4 linked regions of the Elephas maximus indicus genome follow. The protein of the gene in region 2 binds, or shares a complex with, the protein of the main gene of each other region. Links are inferred from orthologs where the notes say so. Each region holds a gene or a part of one and is shown on either strand. Other genes may lie near its edges. The genes, in order: ITGB3, FLNA, ITGA2B and FBLIM1.

Region 1 (7,177 bases), on a different chromosome or scaffold from region 2:
CCCTTCTCCCCACACCAGACTCTCCTGCTCTAGAACAGCCTTTCTATGCCACTCCCCCCCAGCCCTCTTCTGTATCCTTTCAACACTGTATGTCCCCAACATAGCTCTCCTACTCTCACCCCACCAGTTTCTTCCCAGGGACCTGCAACCCTACCCCCAACACTGGGGTTGTTGTTGAGTGCCATCAAGTCGATGATGATTCATAGTGACAGAGCAGAACTGCCCCATAGAGTTTTCTGTAAGGTAATCTTTATGCGAGCAGGTCTTTCTGTGCCAGAGCAGTTGAGATGGTTCAAGACACCAACCTTGAACTGTCTACCTTCCATTTAGCAGTAGAGCTCTTAACTGGTGCACCATCAGCGCTCCTAACACTGGGATGGGGAATGTAAATATAATAGAAACTGCTTTTACTGCAGGGTCTTTTACTCAGGGGTCTGACTCTAGAGCCCCTGCTCTTAAACACTACCCTGCCTTTCAGAGAGAGTCTGGGGCTAGCTTAACACAGTCCACCACCGCTGCTGAGAATCACCCCAGTCACACCAACAAATCAGTGAACACATCTCCTGAAGGACCTCTCATGTAAGGAACTGCCAACCAAACTTAGGTATGTCAATGCAGTGGAATTGTAATGGGCCATTACAACTGTGTAAACCACATCTACACGATATACTGGGGATGGGAGCTTGGGGGAGACAGCAAAATAACATATCTTCACCAACATTGAGCTAAGCACCATGCTGGGCACTATCTTATGTTATCTCGTTACTTCTTAAACTGTTAGGAAAGTATAATGATTATACACAAAAGTGAATTTAGAATGTTGTGGATGTAAAAAACAAAGGAAATGAAAGCAAAAAATGTTTTAAGTTCATGGAAGCAGTAGGAAACAGCTGAGTTGCCCTCATAGATTTCTCCATTCCCATCAACAGCAGCAGCATCTAACCCAACGTGCTAACATCTCCAGGGCAGAATGCTGAGGATTCATATTTCTGTGACAGTCATCAGGCTATTCACTACAGGCTGAAGATGGCTGGACCTGTGTTAGTCTCTATCACCTGGGAAGTTTCAGTAATGACAACCTAAGCAGCCCCCTATACATCAGTGGTTAAGAGCTTGGCTGCTAACCAAAAGGTCAGCAGTTCAACTCCACCATGCCCTCCGTGTGAATCCTACGGGGCAATTCTACTCTGTCCTATAGGGTTGCTATGAGTCGACAGCAGCGGGTTTTGGGGGTTTTTTTTTATACATCAACTATTCCATTAAAATATTGTCACCCTGTTCAGTATGATCTTTTTACATATATTGTCTATACATACATAGAGGAGTCTGGAAGGCATTCGCCAAAGTATTTTAAATTAGTTATCTTTGAAATGGACTTATCGATTCTTTTTTTTTAATCCCTTCTACTTGGTCTAAATTGTTTTACAGTGAGTATTACCGTTTTCATTAAAAGTATATGTATGAAAAAAAGACCAGACTTACAGGCCTGACAGAGACTGGGAAACCCCTAGAGATATGGCCCCTGGACACCCTTTTAGCTCAGTAACGAAGTCACTCTTGAGGTTCACCCTTCAGCCAAAGATTAGACAGACCCATAAAACAAAATAAGACTAAAGGGGCACACCAGCCCAGGGGCTAGGACTGGGAGGCCAGAGGGGACAGGAAAGCTGGTAATAGGGAACCCAAGGTGGAGAAGGGAGAGTGTTGACATGCTGTGGGGTTGTTAACCAATGTCATAAAACAATATGTGTACTAACTAATGAGAAACTAGTTTGTTCTGTAAACCTTCATCTAAAAAAAAAAGTACAGTAAAATTTTTTTTAAAAGTATATGTATGCACACTCGTGCGTCCTCTGAGGAAGGCTTGATCCCAGAGATTCCAGAGCAAGAGCTCTCCCGGGAAGATCACCAGGGTTCCGGAAGGACCAAGGGCAGCACCCCAGGGCTGTGCCTCACTGCCCCTTCACCACCCTCCCTGGCAATGCGACCAAACGTCGACTGCCCTGGAAGCTGATGATTCGCGCAGCAGCAGGAGAGACAAAGCCTGGGATCCAAACCAGCCCCAGGGACCCTTGCTATGACTCCCCGCATACCCTAAAGATTTTTCTGGTCCGGGGTCTGTCACTGAAGCAGAGGCGCTGCCAGGGTCACTGTAGGGGGCAGCGCCCTTATCCTGCTCCGAAACGCTCCCGCGGGGAGCCACCAAGTTAGAAAAACTTGGAAGTGTGGCACAGGGAGAAAAGAATGTCAAATAACTGGGGAACGCGCGGGTACACGCTAACTCGAGAAGCTACAAGCACATCCCCCTGCCAACGCGCGGGACAGCCCCAGACAGCCCACGTCGCCCCGGCTCCCGGGCCGGGCGGGTCTTCCCTCGCACAGCTGGGACCACCCGGGATGCTCGCAGCCAGCGCTCAGCACCGGGCTGGCTCGGAGCTGCGCCCACCGCACCGCGCGCGCCGAGGCCGCCCCAGCGAGGCGACCAACCTGGCCACCGGCTCCGGGGTCCAGGCCCGCCCCCTGGCACCGGTCGCCTGTCACCCCTGCCACCGAGGGTACAGTAAGGTCCCCAGCTCTGGACTCTGATGGCCCCAGCCGGGGCCCGGGCACTCCGAGAGCAGCAACGCGGGCCCGGCCCGCCTGAGTCTCCCGGCTCCAGGTCTGCAGACTCGGCTGCGGCGGAGCGGGGCGCAGCCCCGTGGAGAGCTTGTCCCTGCGGCGGGCGCCGAGCCTCACTCACCTCCGACGCCGACGCCCGCCAGCGCCCCCAGCGCCAGCAGAGCGGCCCAGAGCGCCCGGGCCCGCCGCCGCGCTCGCATCTCGTCCGCTGGCCACGCGCTCCGCCTCGACCGCGCCCGCCACCCCACAGCGAGCAGCGGTGCCCACGGCCGCTTTTCCCGCAGCCCAGGGGGAGGGGACGCGGTGGGTGGGACGACGGGGCGGGACGTGGCTTCGCGTTTCCTCCCGCCGGCCTTTTTCTGGACCCTGCGCGGGAGAAGGGGTGTGGGAAACCGCGGCTCCTGTCTTGCCGCTCGCCTCCGCCCACGAGGATCCGCCTACCCGCCGGCAAGCGGATGCCGAGCCAGAAAGGGTCGTGGGAGAACCTCCTGGTCCAAGGGTCGGCCCCCTGGCACTTGGCACACTCAGGAAGGCGGGGCGCCTGCGGGCCTTTTCCTGATCCTCCAGAGACACGCACAGGATTTCTCTTTCGTCTTACTCCTGCGGTACTTTCCATCGGTACCAGGAGTTTCTTTCATTCATTTAAGTGGCAAACATCTGTTGAACATCTACTCTGTGCGGCGTACCAGTTTAGTCCTTTATTATCTACTAACGTTTTCTTAGTGGCGCCCTGGTAGCACGGTGGTTAAACGCTGGGCTGCTAACTGAAAGGTACGGGGTTGAACCCAGCAGCCTTTCAACTGCTTCCGTAAAGATTACCTATGAGGCAGTTCTGCTGTGTCCTAAGAGGGTCGCTATGAGTCAGAATCGCCTGGAGGGCAACGGGCTGAAAGTCTTCTTGGATTAGTTTTGTTTCTTTAGACTGTAAGCTTCTTGAGGACAAGACCACACCTCAAGCTTGTGTAAGCAGTGATGTGTCCAAAAAGGGCCTCTCTGCACAAATATTGTAAATATTGCACATAGTAGATACCTGATTACCGTTTCAGGACACAGCCAGTGCACTGCCTCCAAACTCAAACTTACAGGTTTGAGGGCGTCCTTGTATATTCCTCACAGGCCTCCTGTCCACTACTCCGTAGGATCCTTCCTCTAGTCCCCTGGGTCTTCCCCAGAAAGAAAATCTTTGGAGGCTTAGAAAGGCACCCCTAGGGCTATGGCGCCCAGGGAGTGGCTGGGGGCGGGGCAAGCCGCTGAAATGGTTTAAAAACAAGCCCTGAGCGGCCAATCAGAGAGGGACAGAAAGTCTCTCCAGCTCCTGGGCTTTCCTAAGGCCTCTCAGGCTCCCTGCCCTCTCCCTAGACACACAAGATCTCTTGACAACTGGCCCTGACTCACTTATCCAGCCTTATCTCCCACAGAAGCTCCAGAACGTACTTATTCCCAGATCCCATCCTTTCTCACTGGTCTTCCGTCCTTCTTCCACCTAGAAAATTCCATCTATGTTTCAAGACATCTCAGATGTCATCTCTTCCTTGTAATCTTGCCTGACCTCCCCCCTTCTCCAGCACCAGCTGCACCATCTCCTCAGACCTCTCAGCACTAGGATACACATTAATAGTAGCACACATAACAAAAGTGTCACTAACCGTTTGGGAGGGAATAGAGGCCCAGGTAGCTGGGCTCCCTGACCTGGGCTTTGAGACTCCAGCTGCATCTACCACCCCAAGCTGCTGAGGGCCTCTAGACTGGAAGTCATTTCAACAGTGCTGGGAGTGTGAGGGTTAGAGATAGCTTGCAGCGTCTGGAGAAGGCTTAACAATGTGCAAATCTTTTTAAATCACTTTTGACACTTTACATCCTTGAAAATGTCATTGCCCTGAAGCAAAATTCAGGTCAGCGTCCTGGTTACCTCTCTGCCTAGCAGTTTGTATTGTAATTTGCTATTTATTTATTTTAAATTGAAGTAAATTTTACATACAGTGAGAGGCACAAGAGATGTGAAGTAGTATCTCGCTACAGAAAATTTTATCACCCCAGAAAGTTCCCTTGAGTCCTAGTCAATCTCCACCCTCCCCCCCCCATAGGCAACCACTCCAGTTCCGATTTCCATCACCATAAATTAATTTTGGTTTTTCTTGAACCACATATAAAATGGAATCATACATTATGTACTCTTTTGCATCTGGTTTCATTTGCTCAACAAAATGGTTTTGAGGTTCACCAGGTTGTTGTATATGTCAGTGATTCATTCCCTTTTTGTTGTTATTGTGATATATACCCAGACCCATATGTAATAAAATATCTTCCATTTCAACAAATAATTCCTTTTTCTTGCCGACGTGCCCCCATTATTTGTTGAGCACTTTCTTACTTTCTGGCACAGTAAGATGTTCTACGCTCATCTTGCACTTTCCCTACCCTAGCCTTGGCATCAGCAGTTTATTTGCTGAACCCTGGTTTCTTTTAGTGGGCAGCAGTATTTAGAAACCAGATATGAGTTTGTTGCTATTGGGATGTGTAATAAAGAATCAGACACCATTTTTTGATGTTTGACTGCTAGCATCTTTTAAGCCTCACCTCTCTCTCCTCCCCATCTGCCTCACACCTTGACAAGATGAAATGAAAGCCCAAATGCCCCCTTCTTTGGCACTGACAGACATCAAACCACATGAGGAAACCCTCAGCCTAGTCCCAACCTCTAACCACCATAAAAACCCCAAGCTTGTTTCCTTTCCTTGCTCTCTCAAGCCATTTTCAGACCTCCTTGGGAATCACCATGCTGTCTTCCAGAAAGCCTCATTATGTGAGTATTAAACCTTTGTGTAGATAGCCTCTTGGTATGGAGTCATTAGCCTTGTTGTTTGAACCAAATTTTGGATTGGGGTTCATTATTCATCTGTCGACGGCTATAAAGGGTGTCACTGATTATAGAGCCTCTTAGTAGACAGAGCTGGGGGGAGATGGGAACACACACATACACACACACACACTCATCTATATTTCTTTCTCTATTTGTATATTAATATAGTGGTTAAGGTGCAGCTCTTAACCACTGTGCCACCAGGCCCTAGCAAATGTGCCAGCAAGTTCTCTACTCTGTTCCCAGCCTCAGCAACTGTATTAGTTTCCTAGGGTTGCCATAGCAAAGTACGACAAATAGGGTGGCTTCTAAGAACAATTTATTTTCTCACAGTCCCTGAAGGCTATGAGTCTGAGACCAGGGTGACAACTGTACCATGATCTCCCTAAAGGCTCTAAGGGAAATCCTTCCTTGTCTCTTCCAGCTTCTGGTAGCTGCAGGCTTTCCTTTGCTTGCAGCTGCAGCATAACTCCACTGTCACTTTGCTGCCTTCCCTCTATATGCCTCTGTGTTTCTTCTCCTCTTTTATAGGATGCACCCCATTCAGTATGACCATGTGTTAACTGATAACATCTTCAAATATCCTGTCTCTAAACAAGGTCACATTCACAGGTACCAGGAGTCAGGAGTTCCTGCTGAACTCCCAGCCTTAAGGATGGGAAAGGGGCTAGTCCATTTACATTTAGTATAATAATTGATAATGGCATCCTGGTGATGCAGTGGTTAAGTGCTCAGCCGCTAACCCAAAGGCCGGCAGTTTGAATCCACCAGCTTCTCAGTGGGAGAACGATGTGGCACTCTGCTTTTGTAAAGATTATAGCCTTGAAAACCCTATGGGGCAGTTCTACTGTGTCCTGTGGGGTTGCTATGAGTGAGAATCTACTCAACGGCAGTGGGTTTGGGGTTTTTTTGGAACTGGCATTTTAGCTATACTTCTTTGTGGTGTGTGCTATGTGTGTGTGTGTGTGTGGTTTCTCTAGGAATTAAATATGCGTCCTTAATATATCATACATACTCTTTTTAGAATTAGTATTTTACCACTTCATGTAAAATGTAAGAACCTTACAACAGAATAATTGCACTGACAAAACACTACCCTCTATGCTGTCATTGTCAGACATATTACTACTAAATGCATTGTAAACCCTGCAATATAAAATTTTATTTTTGCTTTAAACAGTTGCCTCTTAAAGAAGTTGAATAAGGTGATAATAAATTTACCCACACATATTTACTATTTCTGTGGCTGCAGTTCCAAGTTTCTATCTGGTATCATTTCCCTTCTGCCTAAAGAACTTCCTTTAACAATTCTTATAATGAAGGTCTACTGGCAACGAGTATGCTCAGCTTTCATTTGTTTCACCCGCATTTTTTATGATATTTCTTAGATATCAATTTCTAGGTTGACAAGGTTTTTTTCTTTCAGTAGTTTAAAGATGTTATTCCACTGTTTTCTGGCATCCATTGTTTTTGAGAAAGTCATCATTTATATTCTTGTTTACTGTCTTTTCCCTCTGGCTTTTTTTTTTTTCTTTAACTTCTAATTTTGAAATAATCTTATAGAAAAGTTACAAAATAGTAAAGAGAGTTCCCTTTTACCCTCCACACAGGTTCCCCTAATGTTAACATTTTATATTGCTATATCATATGAAAGCTTTTTGGAATTGGAAAAACACAGAGGAATATGTTCTCATTATT
Region 2 (6,995 bases):
CAGTCACGTGGGGCTTAGGCACCTGGGTTCCCCGCCCGGGTCCCTGCCTCCCCGGGTCTCTGCACCCCTCCGCGGCAGAGGCGGATTAACCAGTAAGCAAGGTAAGCACGGGCTTAATTGTGTTTACTTACTAAACTGTAGTGCACAATTTCACAATATGCGAAAAACAAGTGAAATTCTGCACCACGGATTAGTAAGTAAGCACAAGTAAACCTGTGCGTACCTTGCTTATGGGGTAACCTGCTCCCAGGCTTAAGGCCTGGGTGCCCAGTAAAAGGCCTAGTCTGCCCAGCAGACACTCCAGCAGCATCTGCCGGAGCCGGGGCGGGGCGGGGGGAGCTGGGGCCAGGCTCTCTTCAAGCCCTCTGCGTGGAGAACACGAGGGAGTCACGGCTGGTCGGCGGCCCAGCCCACAGGCCAGCCACCTCCCAGGCCCCTGTCCCCGCTGGCCTGGCGAGTCTGCCGGCCCCTGGCCTCTGCACCTGTGCTGCCCGCTGCCCACGGCCCTCTGCCTGCCTTCCTGCCCGCCCGAGGAGGAAATGGGGCATTGGGCCAGGAGGGCAGTGGCAGGCGCTCCAGGAGTTCCCAGCCAACCCTGTAAGGGGCCAGGAGTGCCAATGAGCGCTGGCAAAGGACAAGGCGTGATGCGAGTGGGGACAGTGAGCCAGCCCACCGCACCACACCACCCACCTGGGGGACCAGATGGGGAGGAGGGGGAGGTTTGCTCTCCTGGTGGAATGACCCCTGAGCTGAGTGCCCCCCAGGAGGGATGGGGGTAGCCTTCCAGAACCAGAGGGGCCTGCTGGGGGAGGGGAGCCTCAAAGAAGACTTGGCAGGCTGTAAGCACTGGGGTGTGAGCGGCTTTGGGCAGTGTGGCACTGCAGGGGTGGCCAAAGGAGAGGGAAGCCAGGGCAAATGTGGGGGCTGAGGAGGGCCTGCCGAGGTGCTGGGACTATGGCCCAAGGGCAGTGGGGAGTTCTTTTCTGGCTGATAACTCTGGAGACTGTGGGGAGGCCCTGGGAAGACAGGGACCGGCAAAGCCCAGGGCATCCTGTGCAATCACAACACATCCCCTTCTCTTATGTATTTTTTTCCGGAAAGGCATGTCTATGGCCCTACTGCTCGATTCTTCGATGGAGGCACAGGCTAGTAGTAATTCCTTTCTCTGCTAAGACCAGTGGGAGAAGGAGGCCTGGGTCCTCCAACAAGTCATGCCCAAATATGGTTGATTCTTACTTGGCCCTGGGTGTCTGCGTGACCTGCAGTGGGGCTGGGATCTCCAGCCAGCATCTCTTCAGCCTCCCAGCATATCTCTTTCCGGTTGTCTGTCACCCCACTGAGTTTTCTCCACCAACGGTGGTGGCAGGGGGTCCAGATGGCATTTTCCAGTACTGAGGTCCACCCTCAAATGCTCTGCCCCTCTCCTGAACACTCTCAGACACCTGTAGAAAATTTCCCATCCACCGTGTCTGAGGGCTGGGGTGTAGGAGGGAGGGAAAGCTGTAAAGGGGCACCCAGATGAACCCCTCCCTGCCAGGCCACGGGTTTAGAGTCGTTCTTCTGGTCATCTTCCCCCTCCCCTGCTTCCAACTGGAAAACAGGCTCCAGGGATGGCAATCAAGAATTGATTCTGTGTCCACTAAGTGCCATCCAAAGGGACCATCTGTGTTCATTCCTTAACCTTCAAACAGAGGGCAGGGAAACTGAGTCAGAGCAACTATCCAGTGGTCAGCTTCAGCAAACAAGGGGACATAAGTTGGATGTCCTGGCTTCCAGCCCTAGGCTTTCCCTATTTGGAGAGAGGGAGGGGTGGGAGTGTAGAGGGTCCTTGCACCCAGAAGACAGAGTATCACCACCAGATGGCGCTCCATCTCAAAGCCCCCAGATCGGGCAGTCTGGGGAAGCCAAAATCCAGCTCTTTCATATTTTCCCTTATTTGGAGTAGATTCTTGGATGTTAGGCACACCCAGCCCCCACCCCAACCCTGGCCCTCAGACCCCAGGCCTGGCTCTCCAGCTATAGCCCCTAGTGCAGAGGCTGTTCAGCTGGGACGCCTATGGAGCCAGCTGGTTCTAGGCCTGTGTAGCCAGGGAGCACTGGGAGGGAGAGGAACAGCCAACTGGCACAATGAAAAGAGGCCTGGGCTGGCACAGCGAGTCTAGGTGAGGCAGGGGAAGGCGCCCATTTCCTGAGCACCCTTCTCTGTGCCCACCTTGGTTGTGCCACCCAAAGCACCACATACAAACGGGACAGTCAGCTGACTTCACCCACTTCTCCTGGCCCCAGTGGCATGGGAATCTGGGGCCAGAGCTACTCACATCCTGGCTGGCAGGGAACATCCAACTCAAAGCCAACCTGGGATGAGCCCAGCCAGTGAATCTGGCCTGGCGGTGCCTGGCCACACCCCACCACAGCTCCATAGAGCCACAGAGCGCAAAAGCCCAGGAACCAGCTTCCCATGCCCTGGCAGCTGGTGCCCTGTGGACTCGTGCCCTCCCAGCAGGCACACTAGCTACAAGGTGTCCTTCCAGGTGTCCACTCACCCTCAACCCACACAGGGTCCTACCCTCTGGGTCCTTCCTTCTCAGACAGCCTTGAAGCAGCAGTCTCATGGACACCCACGCCTGCACCCATCTCCTACCAAACGTTCAGGGACTCCCATGGCCTTGGGCTCCCAGACTCCTGACGCACACACCGGCTGGTGGGTAAACTCGGGGAAGCTGCTCCCGGGCACCACTCCTGGTGTCCTGCTGACGCACCCCAGCTCCACCTGGTCCGGGCCTGGGCGCGTGCTGGCGCCTGCGTTCTCTAAGCTTCTCCGCCCGCCTTGCCACCCTCGCCCCGGTGCAGCGCGGCGCCTGTCCGCGCGGAGCCCGGCCTCCAAGATCTTACCTGCTGTCCCAGCGGGCGGCCGGCGACCGCGGGGTGGCGCCTGGCTCGTTTTCGCGCCCGTGCCCGGCACCTCCTGGCTCCGCTGGCGTCCGCTGTGCGCCGCGCGCTTCCACGCGAATGGCCCGCTGCCGCCCGCCTTCTTGTTGGCCTCACCCCCGCCCCGCGCCCGCCCCGCGCACGGCCCGGCCCGGCCGGGCGAGAAAGCCTTAATTGGTAAAAATCGCCCAGGAATCGGGGGCGGGGGTGAGCGGCGAGCTCGAGCGCCTGGGCCGCACTGGCGACACCGCCCCCCGGGATGAGCTCACCACCCGGCGAGGGCCGCCAGCACGGGCGTGGGGGGACGTCCCGAGCTCCCGCAGGGTCGGCAGGGACCACACCGGCTTGCTGAGCTTGGGGGGGCCAAGCACTCCCCACCGGAAAAGGCCCAGCTCTGAGGCCACCTCGTCCAGGAAGTCCCCCAGAGCCATGGCCCCCTGCATGAGGCCTGCCTCTGCCCCAACCCTGGGCTGGCAAAGCAAGTCGGTTTCCGCTGCCCTGGTGGATGGGGAGGGGGGCAACAGGCAGGTGCAGGTGTTCACTGAGCACCTACTACCTGCAAGGCTCCAGTGGGGCTGGACTAGAGTGACTCTGAGGCCAGGATGAGCCTTATGAATCTGACCCCGCTGGGTGCCAGGCGTGGCCTGGAGTGGGCAGCTGAAGCATATTGGATTCTGAAGACTTCCCCCGGCCCATCCCACCTGATTAGATGCAGTCCCCAAGCCTGGGAATGAGCAGCCTGTCTGTGATCAGAGTGGGCACAGCCACACCCTGGCATAGCCATGCTCCTTCCTGTTCTGTGTGCCTGTGCTTGCCTGATAGCTTCAGATGTAAATCAAATGTCACTTCCTTGGGGAAGGTCACGTAAAACAGTATTTTTTAACATGTTTGCCCACAAACTGCAGTAAGAACCACATTTTACATCCTTAGCCAATGTATGTGCGCACACACACACACAAACTGAATGAAACAAAATGACTTGCAAAACGAGAGTTTCCCTTACTACCTACAAAGCACTCTGATATTTTCTATTCTACTCTACTTCCTCAGAAAAGGAGAAAGGAAGGGAGGAAGGGAGAAAAGAAGGGAGGGAGGAAGGAAGGAAGGGAGAAATGGGGAAGGAAGGAGGAAGGTCGGAAAGAAAAAAGGGAGGAAGGGGGAAGGAGGGAAAGAAGTGAGGAAGGAAGGAGGGGAGGAAGGAAAGGGGAAAGATAGGAAGGAAGGGAGAAAATGGGGAAGGAGGAAAGGAAGGATAGAAGGAAAGAAGGAAGGGAGGATAGAAGGAAAAAAGGATGGCAGGAAGAGGGGAAGAAACGGACAACAGGGAGGGAGGGTGTAAGGAACGAAATAGTTCAGGCACCACCTGCTGAATTAAGTTGCTGATTTACAGTTTGGGAAGCACTGATAAAGAGGCACTGATGGCCCTACTGGTCTTGCTGTCTTGGCTAGCTCTGCTTTCAAAGACCTTTCACACCTTGACCCTTACTGGGTGCTTTCTAACAGTGCCAGGGGTTCCCTCTCCTCCTGCCCCCTCTGGTGGGAGCGCCCCCAGCTGGGGAGGGCAGTGGGTTATCTTCACATGATAGGTGAGGGACCTGGACTTGGAGATGGGAACTCACAGACCGAGGAGGGGGCTGTGCTGGGGCTCACAGCCAAGGCGGTCCGTGGTTCATCAAGGAGGGAAACCACATGCCTTTCTGCAGCTGCGCTCCAAGCCAGGGGTACAATAGGTGGAGGGAGCACTAAGGAGGCAGTGGTTTCTTAGCAGTGTTCGGGACTGCCACCTCCGTGTGAAATCAACTACTGCCCCTCTCCCCCACCACACACACAAAACACATGCAGCAGCTCTGTCTCTTCTTTCAGGTCTGGGCGGAATAAATGTTTGTACAGCACCAGGTGTCCTTCGGTTGAAGATACAGGGAAACTACCAAAGTCAGCTGCATTCCTCCCACCAGTCATCCCAACAGTACCAAGATAAACTGACCTGTTCCAAGGTTGGAACACAACACTTTCCTTGAGAGACCTTTAGTCAACTAACCAGTGTTTTAATATTGGTTGTGACAGTGTTCAACATATCAATTGTCTCGCAACTTTTGTAACCATTGGAGCAATGTTTCAAAACATTTGAAAACTAGTTAAAACCCAAAGGAGCTTTAATACCCTTGAAGAGAAAAGTGTCTTTTAGCACTAAAAAAAAATCCTTATCTTAAAGAGAAACTTAGTAGCTCAGTGATCAATGGTTTGCTTGTACATGGATGCTGAGAAATGTATTTATGGTGATATATTTTTCTCCATTTTAACTTCTGATCTTGCTGGGATTCCAAGTTGTACAATCCACTGTTTAGAAGCCATTCTCCATCCTTAAAGGAGAGACTCATTTTTCTTATTCTTGCCTTAGAATCGCGGCTTCCACAGCCCATTACCCCCGCTGCACTGGCTGCTTTTTGTGACCTCTGTCTGCAATCCCTTTTCCAATTGTCCACCAGAGAAATTTGTCTTTTTCAAGGCTCAGTTCCAGTGTCTCCTTTGCCTGTCCTTCCCAGGACCAGCTCCTGGGAACAGTTTTCCCTCCTTGAGAGCTCTGAGGCTGGGCCGTGGAGCACCAGATGCTGGCTGAAGAAATGTTTCATGAATGAACTATTGGACTCGAGGTTCCGGACCCCACTCTATGTGATGGAGGTGCAGAGGGCATCCTAGCTCGGATGGTCAAGGCCTGACCTAGTGTCTGGTGGTCTGGGATGGAGCTGCACGGCCATGGGTGACCATCCACAGTTCAGCTTCCTGGTGCCCTCTGTGGCGGGACCTCATAGTGAGGACAAAAGGGGGGGGGACATAGGAGGCAGAGTGCTGAGGCAGGTGCAAGGGGGTGGTGTTCCCTGGGGAGAAGGCAAACCTAGAATTCCTTGACCTCATAAGGAAACAGCTTGCATCAGTATGGGGAGGGGTGGCACGGGGGAAGACTGAGCAGGCTGTAAGGGAAGCCAGAACCAGCATCTCTGGGAGAGGGGCCAGCATTGCAGAAAGGCTGAGAGGGGCTGGGATCTGATCTTGCCAAAACTCAAGATTCCACGAGGCTGCCTTTGCCCAGCTCACAGCCCAAACGGCCACCTCCTCCCCTGCCCAGCCCATGGCTCTCCCCTCTGTATAGGGCAATGTAGTGTCTTCAGGGACTCCAATGCTACTTGTCACAGTTGAGACAGAGCAGGGCCCCACCTTGATTCTAAAACTTGGGCAACAGCAACTCTTCGGAAGGGTCTTTGTCTTTGGTCAAACCATGGTCTCTCCTCTGGCCACTCCCCACGTGTATACCTCTTCCCCACCCTGAGCAAACCTCCCTGGAGAGCTGGTCTGCGGCCCGCACCAGCTGACCAGAGCCCCCTCTCTTTTCTTCTCCCCCCCACATGAGACTTGGGGCTAGCTCCTCTCATCCACTCCAGGGAGAGCCCACCAGGCAGCCCCACACTCCATGAGACTGGCTTTGTCTGAGCATGACTACCACCTCTTTCCTGCTCTCCAAGAGACAGCACTTTTCCTACCAAAGCCTTGCCTCCTCCTAGCCATACTCCACCTTACATCCACTGCCTGCCCTGGTTTGCTCCGCTCAGCCCCCATGTTTGCCCTGGCCTCTGTCTCCTTTGGCCACTCCTGCAGTGCCTGCATGTGAAAGCTGGACAGTGAATAAGGAAGACTGAAGAAGAGTTGACGCCTTTGAATTGTGGTGTTGGCGAAGAATATCGAATATACCATGGACTGCCAAAAGAACGAACAAATCTGTCTTGGAAGAAGTGCAGCCTAAATGGTCCTCAGAGGCAAGGATGGTGAGACTGCGTCTTACATACTTTGGACATGTCAGGAGGGATGAGTCCCTGGAGAAAGACATCATGCTTGGCAATGTACAGGGTCAGCGGAAAAGAGGAAGACCCTCAACGAGGTGGATTGACACAGTGGCTGCAACAATGAGCTCAAGCATAACAACGATTTTAAGGATGGTGCAGGACCAGGCAGTGTTTTGTTCTGTTGTGAATAGGGTCGCTATGGGTCGGAACCGACTCGACGGCACCTAACAA
Region 3 (7,701 bases), on a different chromosome or scaffold from region 2:
ACTGGAGCCCGGACCAGGAGCCCTAAGACGGAGGGGGAGGGTGTGGGGGCCCAGATGTCTGGGGTCTCCCTTAGGTGGGGAAGCTGGGAGAAAGGCGGGAGATGTACAGATGGGATGAGGGACATACCTAAGAAATAATAGCCACCGGGGGCCCCAAGCACCAGCTCCCCAGCCTAAAAGGGAAGCCCTGGAGGTGAGAGGGTGCCCTGTTCCTGGGCCGCCCCCACGCCTCTCACGCTCGGTACTCGCCTGGGTGACCACTGAGCTGAAGCCCACTTCGCAGTAGCGTCTGTCCAGCACTAGAGGGCGCAAGGAGGTGGGGTCAGTGAAGGGGCGGATCGAGAAGCGTGGATCCGAGCCTGGGCCCGGCGGGGGCGGGGCCATGGGGCGGGGCCAGGAGTAATATAGAGGCGTGACCTTGAAAGGGCAAAACCAGACTGAAAGCAGAGTTTTGGCGCGCTGGGGGAGGGACTAGACTAAAGAAAAAAAACCGTCGGGTCGATTCCGACTCAAAGCGACCCGATTTTGTTAGAGCGCTGGGCAGCTAGTGGGCGGGGCCAAAGCAGGGGCGGAGCTTACTAAAACGATTTTGTTCGTAAATCTTGCTCATGGTGCGGGCCCGGCAGGGCGAGTACTCCGCCCGGCTGCCGCTCTGGAGATGAGCCACCCAGCAGCTACCTACAGGCGTCTTCTCGGCCTCCTCGGTCTTTTCTAGCACATTCCAATGCTGCCAGGGAGCACAGGCCTGGGGCAGGGCCACAGAGGAGTAAGGAAGGGCGCGGGGCTGGGACTGAGGCCCCACCTCACTCCTCCCACCAGACGTATCCCCGGCCCCGCCTGCTCCCTATCCCCTATCCCGCGGCCACACCACAACGTTGTCTCTCCAGCTGACGACCGACGCGCCCAGTCCTTGCCCGGCCTTGAAGGTTTGGAGGGTTTGGTAGCCTACGTTTTGGTTGTCATCCGCTGGAGAACAGAAGAAGGTGTGGGGGCGCTGAAGCCCGGCTGTCCACGCCCCCTCTGGCCCCTCCTCCGTCCCTCCTGGCTCCGGACTCACTGAGGTGGAAGGACAGCGAGGTGCACTGGCCACCCTCGGCCTTCCAGGGGCACAGGAACACACCGCCAGTTTCCTCTCGTCTAGGACCCAAGGCCCGAGGGGCGCCCACCACGATGGCCACGCTGCGAAGGAGAGCTGGGTGAGCGCTGCACGCATTCCCGCGTGGCCCATGCCCAGTGCCCACGCTGGAAGCACTGCCCAGAGGACGGTGTGCCGTGGGGGCCTGGACCAGCTTTCCTCAACAAGACCTCACAGACCGTCGAGGCCAGCATCTTCACCTTATGGACAGTGAAACTGACTCTGGGAGGAAATCACTTTCCTAAAGCAATACAGCGAACTGAGGTTAAAGCTGGCACTATAACCATTTGGTTTGATTTGGACACGAGGGTTTTGCTATTCCTCATGAAAAAGACCTCCCAAGCTCTGCACACTACCTCCATCCCCTCTCCCTTTCCGTCCCACCAAAAGCCAGGGGTTCAGATGCTCCCTACAATGTTCGTTTGAAGACTATTCCTTACCAGATCCCTTTCTGAGAATTGATTTTAATGGTGAAGAATGAAGAAAGCCAGAGGGCGCCTGGGGGTGGGGGGCGGGGGTGGGGGAAGGTTGCTGATAGAGCTGAGAACCCTAGCAGATCTAGGTTCAAATCACAGCTCTGCCATTTACTGTCTTTGTCCAAAGTCATTTAACCTTTCCTATGTAAAATGAGGACAATACCAGCCAATCACTGTTGTCATGAGGAGTAAATGTGTGAGGGACATTTGGCATGGTACCAACCAAATACATAGTAATGCTCAATATACAAAATGCTTTTTTTTTTTTTAAAACGCATTCAGGGTTTTTTTTTCCGAAGTACCCATGAAACCAATACCTGTAGAAAGGAGGTGAAAGGAGTGGGCAGAAGTGGAACTCATACGCAGGTCCAAAGAAAGACTTGGGCCAACTCTCCTTCCCTCCCCTCCATGCCGTGGAGCTAGAAAGACCCTTCAAAATTATCACAGTCAGACCCTTATCTCACACACACACACACACACACACACACACACACACACGAGTTGTCAGTCAGTGGAAGTGGGCCACCTTGGGAAAGGTTTTGACTTTGGGCAAGGTGGTTCTTTTCAGCAGAGGAAATCTCACAAAGGGCTGACATTTGAAGCCTGTCTGCCCTTGCTACTTCCTGAAGCTGGACATCACAGTGTCCACCACACTACCTAGGTAGCTTAGGGTAACACAGCTATTAATAGGGGGGAATTCGGCAGTCTGATTTCATGGCCTAATCAATCCCAACCATTAATGCTCTATTGCTTCTTTTCAAATATGCATATTTGGTAAGGGAAATGGAGTAGAATTGCAAGGTGGGAGCAGACTATTTTACAGTTTTGCAAGTCAACTTAAGACGTGCACCTCTCTGTATTTTGAGGGGAGGAAAGTGGAGTGGGTCTTACAACTGACCCTTGAGAAAAAAAATAAATCAACTTTTGTCTTCCCTTTGTTCTTGCTGTAGTTTTAGTGCCTATCTCCTCCCTGGTGTCCTCTCCCTGACACTCTCACCTGAGCTGGTCCCTGCCCACTATTTCTAACCAGACTTCAGCCTGAGCCACAAACCAAAACCCAGTGCTGTTCAGTGGGTTCCGACCATAGAGACCCTATAGACCCTATAAATCGTCTTGCTCAACCTCCATCAGAAATGGGCTCACAGAAGCAGTGACAGGTTGGGGTTCCTTCTCTCTCCCAACCCCCAAACTTCCCACAAGGCTCACCTTCCTTTGCTGTCCTTGTAGAAGTCCAGTGAAAACCCAAAGTGGCTACCATTGGGGCCTGTGTAGACAGTGAGCCGCATCAGGTCCAGGTTCAAGGCCCAGGTTGGAGGGGTACCATCGGGTCCTAAGAGCAGCTGTGCCCACCCCAGGAGCCAGAGGGCATGCAGTGGACACAAAGCTCTGGCCATCTTCCTTCTCCCACAATCTCCTAGGCAGAAATGGGCCAGCTTCTTCCTCTTTCCTTCAGTTTCCACCACAGGAAGTCATTTCTTATCAAGCTGGGGCCCAAAGCAACTTGCTGAGCAGTGGATAGAGCAAAGGGCTATACAGCCCCTGCACACATCCATGTGTTCTCCAGGATTGCCAGGAAAGGGGTGAGGCTTAGGGCTGAGAGGAATGACTCCTCTCTTTCCCTGGGAACAGTTTATCACCAACTCCTGGTGGTTCTACCTCTCAATTATTTCTCTTGAATCTTCTCTCCATCTCCACTACCACCACTCTAGTGCAAGTCACCATTACTTTTTATTGGGATAGTACAATCATGAATTAACTGGTCTGTACGCCTCCACTATAGCCCACAGTTCTACAACCTTCCCGCCTGGCCTCGCCCTGCCCCCCACCCCCCGCAAGCTGGCTGCGCTGCTATGGCGCATTGACTTGGCCAAAAGTGGGGGAAGAAGGAAGCTGCTGCCTCCTGATAAGACCTCAGGCTGCTGTATCCTTTTGGATAAGGTACTTAATCACTTCTTCCTTCTAGGGCTTTGGACAGCCTCAGCCAGCCATACTGAGGCAGCAGCTTCCTCACTCCTTGTCCATGTTGGGCCAAGTCTCAGTGCTGCCAGAGCAGTGCAGCCAGTGTTGGGAGGGGGGACAGTGAATGGACCTTGGCCTAAGGGACAAGGAAATGGGTACAATTTGAAATTATTCCAGGGCATTCTGGTTCACAGGCTCTGAGATTATGTACAAGCTATTCAGTTGAAGGCAGGCTCTCGCTCCTTTTTGGGTGACAAAGTTCTTGTCTAACCATTAAGACTTGATTTTGCTGGGATCATCGCCTGGGGGAAGTTTCCTCCAACTCCTCGGGCTGGCACCCAGAGCTAACACTGACCACACTATATAATCATGGTCTGTTCACTGGATTTTGTCTGTGAATTCAAAGCATGGTTCCTTTCTGCAGTCCCAGGGCCTAATATGTAGTATGCATGACTAAAAGAAAGACTGAGCAGAAATATGCACAAAAAGATAAAGATGCAAACACAGGGTCACACAGTGGGAAAAGAAGAAAGAGTTTTGAGCAAAAAGGCAAGGTCATCTTCTGTGGATACGGGGAAGAGGACAGGAGTGCTAAGTCTAACTGGCACTGCATGCCTTCCCAAAAAAGCTGTTCTCAAGGAGATTCAAGAAGTCTAGATGTAAAGGCAACATAGCCACATTCTTCTCTTCATCCATACTTGCCTTCTGATCAAACTGCCCAACTACCCTGTGCCATTCTGGAATCCTTTCAGCTCCCCTCATACTTCACCATCTCAGCACACAGCTCAAAATCCTATCCCTAGCTAGGTTAAACGCTCCTTCAACTTTAATCTGGGCTTTCTTCACTGCTGACTTCCAGTGCCAAGCTCCTGGCAGGCCTGCAATACATTTGTTAGAATGAATCCTTAACCCAGTCCTCTACTCACCCTCCCAACTGTCCTCAACTGAGCTGCTATTAACTCACGTTGCTGTTGTGTGTGGTCTAGTCAATTCTGACTCATAGTGAACCTATAGGACAGAGTAGAACTGCCTCATAGACTGTAATTTTTATGGGAGCAGATTGCCAGGTCTTTTTTCCTGCAGAGCGGCTGGTGGGTTTGAGCTGCCAACATTTTGGTTAGCAGTAGAGAGCTTGAACATTGTGCTACCAGAGCTCCTTATTAATTCATAGTCCACTACAACTTTCAATAAGTACTTGTTCTGTTCAAGGCACTGAGTGATACAGAGATCATTATCAAAGATCCTTAAAAAACTTAGTGCAGAGGGAGTTAAGACATGAACACACGTAACTGTGCATAGTTTTAGGTAAATTGCCCAAGTTACACAGCTAATAGGTGCCACTAACTAGGATTCAAACACAAGTTTGCACTTGAGTCCATGTTCTTAACCATTATACTACGTTGCCTTTTGTCTGAGAATGAAGGAGTTTCTACGCAGAGGAATAACATAAAAGAACAGCAGAACAACAAAAGCCACTTATAGGGAAAAGCAAGTACTAGTTAACTCAGCATAGGGTGCTCAAAGGGGTGAATTTGCACGAGGGTGAGACGGAAAGCTGGGATCAAACCACTGGAGGTTCTTCAATGCCATATTAAGGAAAATGAACTTTAACCCATACGAGATGGAAAATCACTAAGATTTTTAAAGCCAGGGGATGGGATACATTGATCAATTGTGCTTTGATCTGGAAGATTAAACTGGCTGCCTATGGCAAGAAAAGGATTTAGTGGGAAGACCAGATGGACAGTGACTGCAATCCTCTGGGTTAAAGGTGATGAGGTCTGAGCCCGAGTACTAATGGCAGGAACAAAAGTGATGACAGAATCAGTAACTGGATGTGTAGGGAGGGATCCAAGGTAGCTACTAGCTTTGGTGTCTGGCCAGACAGTGGCATCATTAACTAGAGTTGAAAATACAGACGGTGATCAGATTTGGGTAGGGAGAGTTGTTTAGTTCTTACGGGTATTTTTATGGAGTCAGAGCTGGGTTGATCTCCCTTCTGATAGTTGGCAGAGAAGTGCTGACACGTTGGTCCCACTTTCTCATCCCATCAGACTGAGTCCAAGAATCCCTCACTGAATTTGAATTCTACTAAGGTTTTATTTTAGTCAACAAATTACTGAGCTTCTATGTGCCTGGCTCTGAGCCAGGTGATGTGGAGGCTCGAGAAAAATCTCTTATCTTCAAATGTTCCCTTACTGAATCCTCGTGCATGATCCATGGTTTGTGGTATCTTACTTTACTCCTGTCTTCTTGAACATACAATCAAAATGTTTACATGTGCTCAATTCTACGTAAGACATCCTAAGGGATAAGAAAAAGGAAGTGTAACAATCAGTTTCTGTCCTCTCAGAGTTTACAATTTTACCAGAAGCAGTGAATACAAAATTAATTGAACTCAGATTCTAAAAAGCGAGTAAACTTACATGGGGCAGGCTATTAGTTCCTAGAGTCAGGGAGGCCAGCCCGGAAGATGCTGCAGTAATTCCAACATGAGTTAATAAGAGTATCTCTTGCAAATAAGAACGGAAGTGGTTGACTACGCCTGAATTAGTCATGGGGGGTACAGAAGATGGAGTAATTTCACGATTCAAGCTCAGGTGGCTGGGAGGGAAGTGGAACCCTTATCAGAACAAGGACGCTTGCCCGCTCTCAGAAACTCACTTTTTATATTTTCTAACATCCATTCCTTCTGGGCAGGGATCTTTGCCATTTTAGGAAACAGTCAGATCTGAGCACCCAACCCAGGGTTTTAAGAGCTTCTCCTTGGTGGACAGAGCATAGCTTTATCAAAGACACTAGGAAAGAAATGAACACCAGTCTTCTTTCCTGAAAGGTTAAGGAGAGGGGAAACTATTACGACAAATCTGTGGTTAGTTTTCCACGCTAAACTTCCCTGCCTCTTGTGATTTTTGATACAGAAAAGTAGGAGCTTTTATCGGCTCAGTAACAGTTGGGATGTATTTCCTTATACTAAGCAGAGGCTCTCAAGTATTGACTGCAGTGACATTAAAGGGCTGAGGAGAGGAAGCCAAGCCTGGTATACAGAACTCCACCTGGAGGGCAAAGACTAGGTAGATCAATCTTGTAATCCCACTGGCCTTAAGTCCATCCAAAATCCTAAAAATCAAAGCCAGAAATTCCAAATCCATTTAATGAGCACCTACATGCCATACATAGATTATATATTTAAGAAAAAGGGAAGAAACAGAAGTTCTTACGGGGAAAGAGGGAGCAGAAAGAGACACTTACCTAACACTGAGAGAAACACAACTCCTATTACTTCTGCCCACAGCCATCTTTTGCCTTTGAAGTGGGCAGTCCAAGCTTTGAGAGGCACAGTTTCAAATATCACAAACAACTGGTTCACAAGAGTCTACTGCTTGGTCACTTTAAACAGGATGTTACTTACAATCCACAACTCCATCTTTTCCCAACTTGAGTGAACAGGGAACGATCACGACAGACTCTGCTAAGTTTCCACAAATCATTGGTTTATTAGAAAGTTCTTTCCCTCATTTTACAGCATATATATCTCTATCATATGTGATAAAGTTAAATACAGTCTGTTACGCTTGTAAGTAAGGTCATTTTGTTTTTCCTTCTTTTTTTTAAGTTTTAAAACCACTATTCTGGAAGTTAAAGAAAACTGCCTCCAGGAAGGCAGAGAGGCCAGAACATGGCTCGATCTACAAGCTGAAGGGAAGCAGCACGGAAATGTTAATACTGTATTATTTAAATATTTACATGGGCTGAAAACAAAGAAAAATGAGTCCTGTCACTTGAAACAGACCATTTCATTTTTTCTAATGCTAGTCATCCAAAAAATAATGCTTCTGAGTCAGATGATGAGCACTTAACAGGTAGGGGACAATCAAGAACCTCCTTTGCCCAGCACTTACTTCTCAAACTCAAAACGCTACTTCTTTTGGGAATTCGAGAGGAAAGCCAGGAACACCGAGCCTTGGCCCAGATAAGCAGGGTTTGGTTTTCCTCTCAGGTGACCACTCAATCAATTGTAGCCTCAGGAATGGTTAGGGAAATGCCAAAGAAGGAACTAACTACACCAAAGGAATGGGACCTGCAATGCAAGCACCTTTGGTTCAGTGTGTTAATTAGGGCTGATAGCCT
Region 4 (7,229 bases), on a different chromosome or scaffold from region 2:
CATAAATCTGTCTGTTTCACCTCTACCCAAAAGCCTTCCATTGCTCCCTACTACCATCAGAATAAAGCCCGAATTCCTCTGGCCTCAGCCTCTTTTTGACCACCCTAGACCACTCACTCTTCCTCGATGGTGCCTTTCTCCCTTACTTACCTTTGAGTGTTTCTGCCACCTGTTTTCCCTTTCCCACTCCCACAGGGTGAATTTTCGGCTAATCCTTAGAGGCCCAGGAGCTTATCACCTCCTCCATGAAGGCTCCCCTGATCCCTGACCTCCCCAGGGAGGTCAGTTGTCTGCCTCCACAGGGTGATGACAGCCCTGTCACACGACATGCTGGCTCACTCTCCACGTGTCTGCCCTCTCCCCCTGACAGTGTGTGCCTTCAGCTGTGTCTGCAGAGTCCAGCTCACAATGCAGGCACCAAATCATAGATGTGGGGGCAGGGTGGCTCACAGTGAGGGTCAGGGGAAGGCCATTTGCCATCTCTCAGGTGGTTTCTGCAGACAGTAGTGTGCGACCAAGGCCGAGCCTTGGGATGGGGTGAGTCAGTCACACCAGCTTAGGAGCTTCCCCAGGCACCCAAGGCTTGTGCCCTGGGATAACACTATGCCCTTTTTCTACCTCCCCCTTTCGGGCTATGCCACCCTGACATGGCCCCAAAGGACCCTAATGGTGGACCTGGAGTCCAACTGCCAGTCATGGGCCTCTTTCAAAGTTCACCAGCCCTCGTGGGCTCTCTTTGGTGACTACAAGATTACAATAATAAAAACAACAATGGCACTCACTGATAAGAATACTTGCTGTGTGCCAGGCACTGTGCTGAGTGCTTTACATGCCTCAAAGCTCACCTAATTCCCAACACAGCTATTTTACAGTGTAAGCCCCAAGACATTAAGTCATTGGTCCCAGCCATCGATGGCAGACCCGGAATTCTAACAGAGCACCATCCGACCACAGGGTCCAGGGAATGACCGCGGAGACACACTACGTCTTCCTCAGACATGCTTTTTCTTCCCTGAATGTCACTAACCCACTGCCGTCTGCGTCGCTAGGGCCCCCAAATTCTCAGCCTGTTCTCGCCCCAGAATGATCCAAACCAGAGCAAAAATCCTGTGGTGAGCACATTCTGGGCTGTCTCCAGAGACTGCTGGGGACCTTCAGGATGCCCTTTCACGTCCTTCTCGCCCTGCTCTGACCCCTATCCCCCAGCCCACCCGCTCTGGGAAGTTGAGTCGCCTGCTTTCTTGGAAGACTCCGGGGGTAAATGTTCCAGTCCTGGAGCCAGATGTGCACAGCTGGGCAGCCCCCTGCCCCCTCCCTTCTAGTGGTTACTGCTGGGACTCCAGGCCCCAAGGGAAGGGCCTGAGCTGGGTGGGGCTTTTCAAAGCCCTGTAAGGCCCCAGGAGGGGATGGGAGGCCCAGCTTCCTTTTGGCCCACTGCCTCCCTGATCACCCTAGAGGGAGTAAGTTCCCTGTGGGGCAGCCTCCCAGCCAGCAGGGCCCAGGGGATCCTCCATCCCTAACCTTCCTCTCCCTGAAGGTGAATCTAAGACCCAGTTGGGTAAGCAAAGAAAGTGGGAACAAAGGGAGGGAGAGTCATTTCCTGTTAAGAGGAAGGAAGGAGGCTGTGATCCAGCCAGCCACCCAGCCTACAGCCCCGGGGCCGAGGACAGACTGGCTGGTAGGGGGGCGCTTCAGGCAGAGCCCCCTCCCTCTGCTGTCCGCCTTCCTCCCAGCGCCCAGAACCACCTCTAAGCTTTGTTCTTTAGCACCCTCACAAAGTAGCCTGTGTTTGGGTCCTGAATTAAACTTTGCTGGGGGTGGGGGTGGGACTGTGCCCCCCCCCATTTGGAGCCTATAGCCCTGGTTAGGGGTTCCTGTTCCCTCTCTCCCACCCCAGAGAAGCACTCAGAGCTGGGTTCACACTGTGCCCACCTCTTTCTTGCTCGGTGACCCTGAGCAGGTCACTGGCCCTCTCTGGTCCTTGTTTTTTTTTTCATAAAATGAGAATAAAGGGGTCTGTCTTGAATAGTGGCTAAGAGGATAAATGGAGTGAGTGATCGAGATATTGGTGCTTGGTAGGTGCGAAGGAGGACAGCTGGTTATTCAGACCTCAAGGGCCTGGGGCGGGGTGGAGGGTTTCTGGGCTCTGCTGGAGGTCCCAGAGAACTGGGACCTGGTTTCCACCATTATTAAGAGCAGGAATGTAGCCGCTGCCCCAGCCTCTTCCTGGGGTCCTCAGATTTGGGATGCGGGAGGATCGAAGTGAAGATCACCCCAAGGGGACACACCTTAGGGGCCGCCCAATCCCTCGTCTCCCCAGCCCCCGACGGGGATCCGAGGCCCGAGAGGGGCTGCCCTGGGCCCCTTCCCCCCTTCGCCTGACCCCAGCTGGGAAGAGGGGCCCGGAGTCCTTGGAGCTCCAGAAAGCCCGGCGGCCTCCCGCAGGCGGCGGGGCAGGGCGGCTGGCCGGGTCGCTGTGGGGCGCCGGCCAGGGACTTTAATTCGATCCATGTGCGGGACGCTGGCTCTTTGTGCGGGAGCTTCCGCCCTGCGCGCCCCTTTCCTGGCGCCGGCTCCTGGGCAGGGACACGACCCTCCCCGCCGTGAGCCCTCCCCCAAACCTGCGCCCCCCTCCCCCACTCCGGGGACAGAGACCGAAGGGCAGAGACGGAAGGCCCCCTCCTGGAGCGCCGGGGCTGGGGTCCCGGCTGGAGGGGAGGTGGGCTCCTGCCAAGGGCTGCCCGCGCTGTCACCTGTGTGTGGCGGGGCAGGGACGGGACGGAGGACGGATCCCCCCCCCACCCGCTTACCTGGGCCGCCGCGCCCGGGGCTCTGCTCCGACGCCCCAGCCGGCGAAACCAGCCGCCGCACTCCCGCCCCGCCGCCTCCCCGCCCCTCGCTCCCTCCGCCCCCCGCCCCGCGCCGCCGCCTTACCATAAAAGGTGACGCTGTGGGGAGGGGGTCTGGGATCCCCGCCGGGCGGAAGCGGCCCCCACCTGCCCGGCCGCGCCCGCACCGCCCCCTCCCCCTCCCCCCTCCCCCTCCCTTTGTTCCCTCCACCACTCCTCCCTTCCCCCTCGGCCCAGGCCTGGGGGGCAGGAGACCTTCCCTGTGGCCAACCCCCCAAGTCCTTTGTGGACCCTGAGGGGTTGTTACTCCACTCTCCCCTCCCCCAGGTCACCTGGATCGCGGCCCGACCTGTTCTGTCAGATGGAGGTGGGTGCTTATATCCCTGGTTTGGGCTGGGGTTTCCCAGGGTCAGGAGGGTCAGGAGGATCTGGGTTGTATGGCTTCCCACTAACGGTGTGACGCTGGCAGTCACTCTACCTCCCTGAGCCTCAGTTTCCTCATCTGTAAAATGGAGATAACAGCCTGCCTCTCCAGGTAGGCCTGAGGGTAAAAGGTGATATAGACAGCAAGGAGTGATGTATGTTGGGCTTTGGGCTTTTTCAGGGGTGTTGGGGGGGGCTGCGGGGGGGTCTCTGAGATCCCCAGTGGAGCAAGTCACCTTGGTTTGCTGTCCTGTGCCCCTTAAGCCTTTTACATGTGGGCCCCAGTGGCCTGAGGGACAGGCCTCTCCAGGAGGGACGCCTCACCCAGCGCCGCGGGCCTGGGAGACAGGGCTCAGCTGGCAATCAGGTCACCTGGTTTGCCACGCCTGGGCCTGTCACTGATGTCCTCCCTCCTGCCCCCTGAATTTGTCCCCCTCCAGGCTGGAGTAGATAAGACATGGAGAGGGGAGGGGCCAGAGATGGAGCTGGGATGGGCCGCCTGGGTCCCCAGAGGCCTCAGGAACATTGCTGGGAAAAGGAATCTGGGTCTGATTCAGAGGCAGATTGTTCCTTTGATTAAAGCCACAGTGGCTGAAGCCATCTGTGGGGAGGCCAGGCAGGGCTGGCTTTCCCCTGCGGGCTCTGCAGGGACAGTCAGCACCCCCAGGATAGCTCTGGGGCTGCTCTGAGGGACTCACTCCTGGGGGCTAAGACGGGTACCTAGACACCCTATCCCATGCTCTCTTCCTTTACCTTCCTAGATCCCTCACCCACTGCTTGTGACCCCCTCCGTTGTTCCCCTTCTCATCCCCTTTTTTCATTTGATCTTCACAGCCGCTGCCCAATAACAACAGCAGTAATTGTTGCTACTTGCCACAGACTCGATTTCTACTCATGGCGACCCCTTGTGTTCAGAGTAGAACTGCTACATAGAGTTTTCAAGGCTGTGTGACCTTTCGGAAGCAAATTGTGGGGCATGTCTCCTGAGGCGCCTCTGAGTGGGTTCAAACTGCCAGCCTTTGGACTGGTAGTTAAGGGCTTAACTGTTTAGGCCACCCAGGGTTTCCAAACAGCAGTAATAGTAGCTGTCATGTATAGGGCTTCTTCTGTGCTGGTGGGTCACCTACAGTGCCTCTTTTACACTGAATCCCCATGAGAGCCTTGTGCGGGAGAACTGATCAGTCCTGAGTCACAAATGAGGACACTGAGGCCCTGAGAGACTCAAGGCCACACGAAGGGCTAGTGGCGGAGCAGGATTCAACCTCAGACCAGTGGGTATCACTGCTGTGCTAGCCCTAGGGCTGGGCAGGACTGCCACCCTTTACAGAGGTTTGGAGACGGGACTAGAGTTCTACCCGCAGAGTGAGACACGGACTTCAGGCTGCTTGGGCTCAGTCCCTTAGAGTGGCAACTGTGCGCCCACTTAGCAGCACTCTTTGGAGTGAGCTTCGTATGCCCTCCACAGGAAAAAGGAGGGAGCCACTCAGTGCCAGAGCTGAAAAGGCCTTCAGGGGGAAGGGCACCATCCAGGGGTTTTCAGACACTTTTGGCCATAGAACCCCCTTTTCCAGTGATTTGACCCAGAAAACTTATTTCAAACAGATAAAAATGGAGCTGCCATCTTTCACCCCGACAGTATCCCCTGAGCTACCTCACTGCACCCCAGGTGGGGACACGGAGGCACAGAAAGGTTGGTTTTCTGGGGGCCTTATCCAAGGTCACACAGTCTAGAATGCAGGCCTCCCAACATCCAGACTGAGCTTGGCTTGAGAGGGTCTCAGGGTGCTGCAGGGGCCCAGACGCCACCACTCTCCTGCCGTCCTGCCCCCGGCTGCCTATCCCACCTCCCCTGCTGCTCCTGGGTGGAGAGGAGCGTCCTGCCAAGGGTCTCCTGTACCAGCTCGGGTGTTGGGTGTTGGTGTCACTGATCGGCAGGTGCCAAGGTTCCTGCAATGGAAACCCAGGAAGTGGGCTGGGCGAGAACACACGCCCTTTGTCTGCCAGCTCAGAGTCCTGCTCCCTGCCTCCCTCCCTGCCAGGCTCAGACCAGCTTTCTTCTCCCTCAGATGGCCTGGTGGGCCAGGGGGGCCAGTCCTCTATTAGGGTTGTGGCAGGTGAGACCCCAGGTGGCAGGAACGGGGTAGGGGAGAGGTTTGGGGACAAGATCGAGGGCAGTGGGATTTTTTTCTCCCCAAGACTGCTGGGGAGGAGGGCACCGCTTGCCCACAGAGGGTGGTTGGTGCTGACTCAACAAACATTGGTCAGGTACCTATTATGTGCTGGACACAAGTTGAGGAGCCAGTGGGGGTCAAGTCCTGTCCTCACCATACTTGCAGGGGGTGGAGGAGACGGACATGCAAAGCAAGTTAATACCACTAACTACCAAGAGTAAAACGTGCTATGAAGGAACAGAAGAGGCTGAGACAGAATAAGGGGTGAGGGGCTGCTCAGGGAAGGCCTCTCTGAGGAGATGACGTTTAAGCTGAGATGAGGAAGAGCCAGGCATGAGAGGAATGTTGTTAGTTGCCATCAAGTTGGCTTCGACTCATGGCAACCCTATGTACAACAGAACAAAATATTGCCCAGTCCTGTGCCACCCTCATGATTGCTCGAGTCCGCTGTTATAGCCACCGTGTATTTTGAGTTCCTTCTAACCTTATTCCAGTGCTATAAAAAAAAATTTTTTTTTTTTTCAGGCAATATTCTGTTGTAATTCATAGGCTCATTGCCAGGCCTTTCTTCCTACTCTTTCTTAGACTGGAAGTGCCACTAAAATCTGTCCTCCATGGATGACCCTCCTGGGATTCGAAATACTGGTAGCATAGCTTTTGGCATCACAGCAACATGCAAGGCACCACGACAATACAATAAACTGACAGACGGGGGTGGATGAGAAGAACAGAGGCAAACGTTCCAGGGAGAAGGAGCAATGGGGAAAATCTGGGCTTTGGGGTCAGACTTAGGCTTAATGCCCAGCTCTCTGGTGCTGTCTGTGTGACCTTGGACAAGACTCCCCCTCCAAGGCTCTGTTTCTTCACCTGTAAAGTAGGGGAGCTGGACTGGATGCCCTCGAATGGGGACATGAAGATTCCATCTGCAGGACTGTTAGGGACAAAGGCACTGAAGGGGCCTGGCCTATAGTTAAAAAATAGTTAGTGCCCACAAATTGAAGCAGTTGTTATTCTCGCATCACTCTCTCCTGGTTTCCAGAGCTCTCTGCTCACACAGTCCGCACTCTCCTCTCCAAGAATCAAGACTAGCCTGGGGAGATCCGGGTGAAGGTGTCCGCTAGCCTGTGGTCATGCAATTTTTCTCCCAGGCTCCCTGAGCTGCAGCCCCCGTGAGGGACCTGGAGGGAAGCATCTGCCTAGCTGCCCCTCCCCTTGGCAGGCTCCCCTCTGGCCAGGTCAGAGCAGAGCTACCCTGCGCCAGCCTGGGGGTGCCGGCTGCGCAGCTGCATGAGGTTACACTGCAGAGTGGGGTGTCCACCCTTGGCAAACAGCCTCCGAAGACCCCGGGCCTCCCCTCCCAGGGGCTCCCCCCCGTCCTTCGTTCATCCTCCAGTCTGCCTGCTTGGAGTCAGGTCAGTTGAACACCTATTTCCCAAGTTCCTAGTGTGTGTCAGGTCTCATGGTAGGGGCTGGCAGGGGTGCAGCAGTACAGAGAAGTGAGAGGTCATCGCACAGGCGCAGGGGTGGGGGACAGTCACAGATATGAGTAACATCAGTGTCTGTGAGGGGTTCCACTCTGCTGGCCTGTTACCTTGGGCAAGTCACTTCTCTTTGAGCCTCAGCTTCCTCTTGCAACCTGTGGGTAGCAGTACCTCCTTTGTGGCTTTGTTATAAGGACTTGATGGGATAAATGTGGATAAAAATGCCTAGTGCTTAGTAGGTGTCCAGAAATGAACTCCTTCCTTTTTCCCACCACATAGAGGATAGAGGTTTCGGAACATTACAG

The links.
Region 1: the proteins of FLNA (region 2) and ITGB3 are in contact, whole or in part, in an NMR structure (PDB 2MTP), measured with the Homo sapiens proteins. The link is inferred for Elephas maximus indicus from reciprocal best matches to the Homo sapiens genes FLNA and ITGB3. Residues at the interface, in NP_001104026.1 of Homo sapiens: Gly2236, Arg2264, Ala2268, Gly2269, Gly2270, Leu2271, Ala2272, Ile2273, Ala2274, Val2275, Glu2276, Gly2277, Pro2278, Ser2279, Lys2280, Ala2281, Ile2283, Phe2285, Asp2287, Gly2291; in NP_000203.2 of Homo sapiens: Lys742, Ile745, Thr746, Pro771, Leu772, Tyr773, Lys774, Glu775, Ala776, Thr777, Ser778, Thr779, Ile783, Tyr785, Arg786, Gly787, Thr788.
Region 3: the proteins of FLNA (region 2) and ITGA2B are in contact, whole or in part, in an NMR structure (PDB 7SFT), measured with the Homo sapiens proteins. The link is inferred for Elephas maximus indicus from reciprocal best matches to the Homo sapiens genes FLNA and ITGA2B. Residues at the interface, in NP_001104026.1 of Homo sapiens: Thr2263, Gly2267, Ala2268, Gly2269, Gly2270, Leu2271, Ile2273, Ala2274, Val2275, Glu2276, Gly2277, Ser2279, Ile2283, Phe2285, Asp2287, Arg2288, Lys2289, Gly2291, Cys2293, Val2295; in NP_000410.2 of Homo sapiens: Trp1019, Lys1020, Val1021, Gly1022, Phe1023, Phe1024, Lys1025, Arg1026, Asn1027, Arg1028, Pro1029, Pro1030.
Region 4: the proteins of FLNA (region 2) and FBLIM1 are in contact, whole or in part, in a crystal structure (PDB 4P3W), measured with the Homo sapiens proteins. The link is inferred for Elephas maximus indicus from reciprocal best matches to the Homo sapiens genes FLNA and FBLIM1. Residues at the interface, in NP_001104026.1 of Homo sapiens: Met2207, Gly2208, Thr2263, Arg2264, Gly2267, Ala2268, Gly2269, Gly2270, Leu2271, Ala2272, Ile2273, Ala2274, Val2275, Glu2276, Gly2277, Pro2278, Ser2279, Lys2280, Ala2281, Ile2283, Phe2285, Cys2293, Glu2306, Phe2311; in NP_001337080.1 of Homo sapiens: Lys7, Arg8, Val9, Ala10, Ser11, Ser12, Val13, Phe14, Ile15, Thr16, Leu17, Ala18, Pro19, Pro20.

The regions. Positions count from the first base shown.
Region 1 is NC_064837.1:53,123,295-53,130,471, reverse strand, and holds the start of ITGB3 (integrin beta-3), read right to left. Parts: upstream 3,015-7,177; 5' UTR 2,820-3,014; coding exon 2,741-2,819; intron 1-2,740. UniProt on the Homo sapiens protein: Integrin alpha-V/beta-3 (ITGAV:ITGB3) is a receptor for cytotactin, fibronectin, laminin, matrix metalloproteinase-2, osteopontin, osteomodulin, prothrombin, thrombospondin, vitronectin and von Willebrand factor.
Region 2 is NC_064846.1:2,091,858-2,098,852, forward strand, and holds the start of FLNA (filamin-A), read right to left. Parts: upstream 3,015-6,995; 5' UTR 2,893-3,014; intron 1-2,892. UniProt on the Homo sapiens protein: Promotes orthogonal branching of actin filaments and links actin filaments to membrane glycoproteins. Anchors various transmembrane proteins to the actin cytoskeleton and serves as a scaffold for a wide range of cytoplasmic signaling proteins.
Region 3 is NC_064837.1:50,890,001-50,897,701, forward strand, and holds the start of ITGA2B (integrin alpha-IIb), read right to left. Parts: upstream 3,016-7,701; 5' UTR 3,006-3,015; coding exon 2,818-3,005; intron 1,180-2,817; coding exon 1,058-1,179; intron 967-1,057; coding exon 869-966; intron 746-868; coding exon 580-745; intron 300-579; coding exon 250-299; intron 174-249; coding exon 128-173; intron 23-127; coding exon 1-22. UniProt on the Homo sapiens protein: Integrin alpha-IIb/beta-3 is a receptor for fibronectin, fibrinogen, plasminogen, prothrombin, thrombospondin and vitronectin. It recognizes the sequence R-G-D in a wide array of ligands.
Region 4 is NC_064821.1:55,496,341-55,503,569, reverse strand, and holds the start of FBLIM1 (filamin-binding LIM protein 1), read right to left. Parts: upstream 3,004-7,229; 5' UTR 2,935-3,003; intron 2,887-2,934; exon of another isoform or gene 2,811-2,886; intron 1-2,810. UniProt on the Homo sapiens protein: Serves as an anchoring site for cell-ECM adhesion proteins and filamin-containing actin filaments. Is implicated in cell shape modulation (spreading) and motility.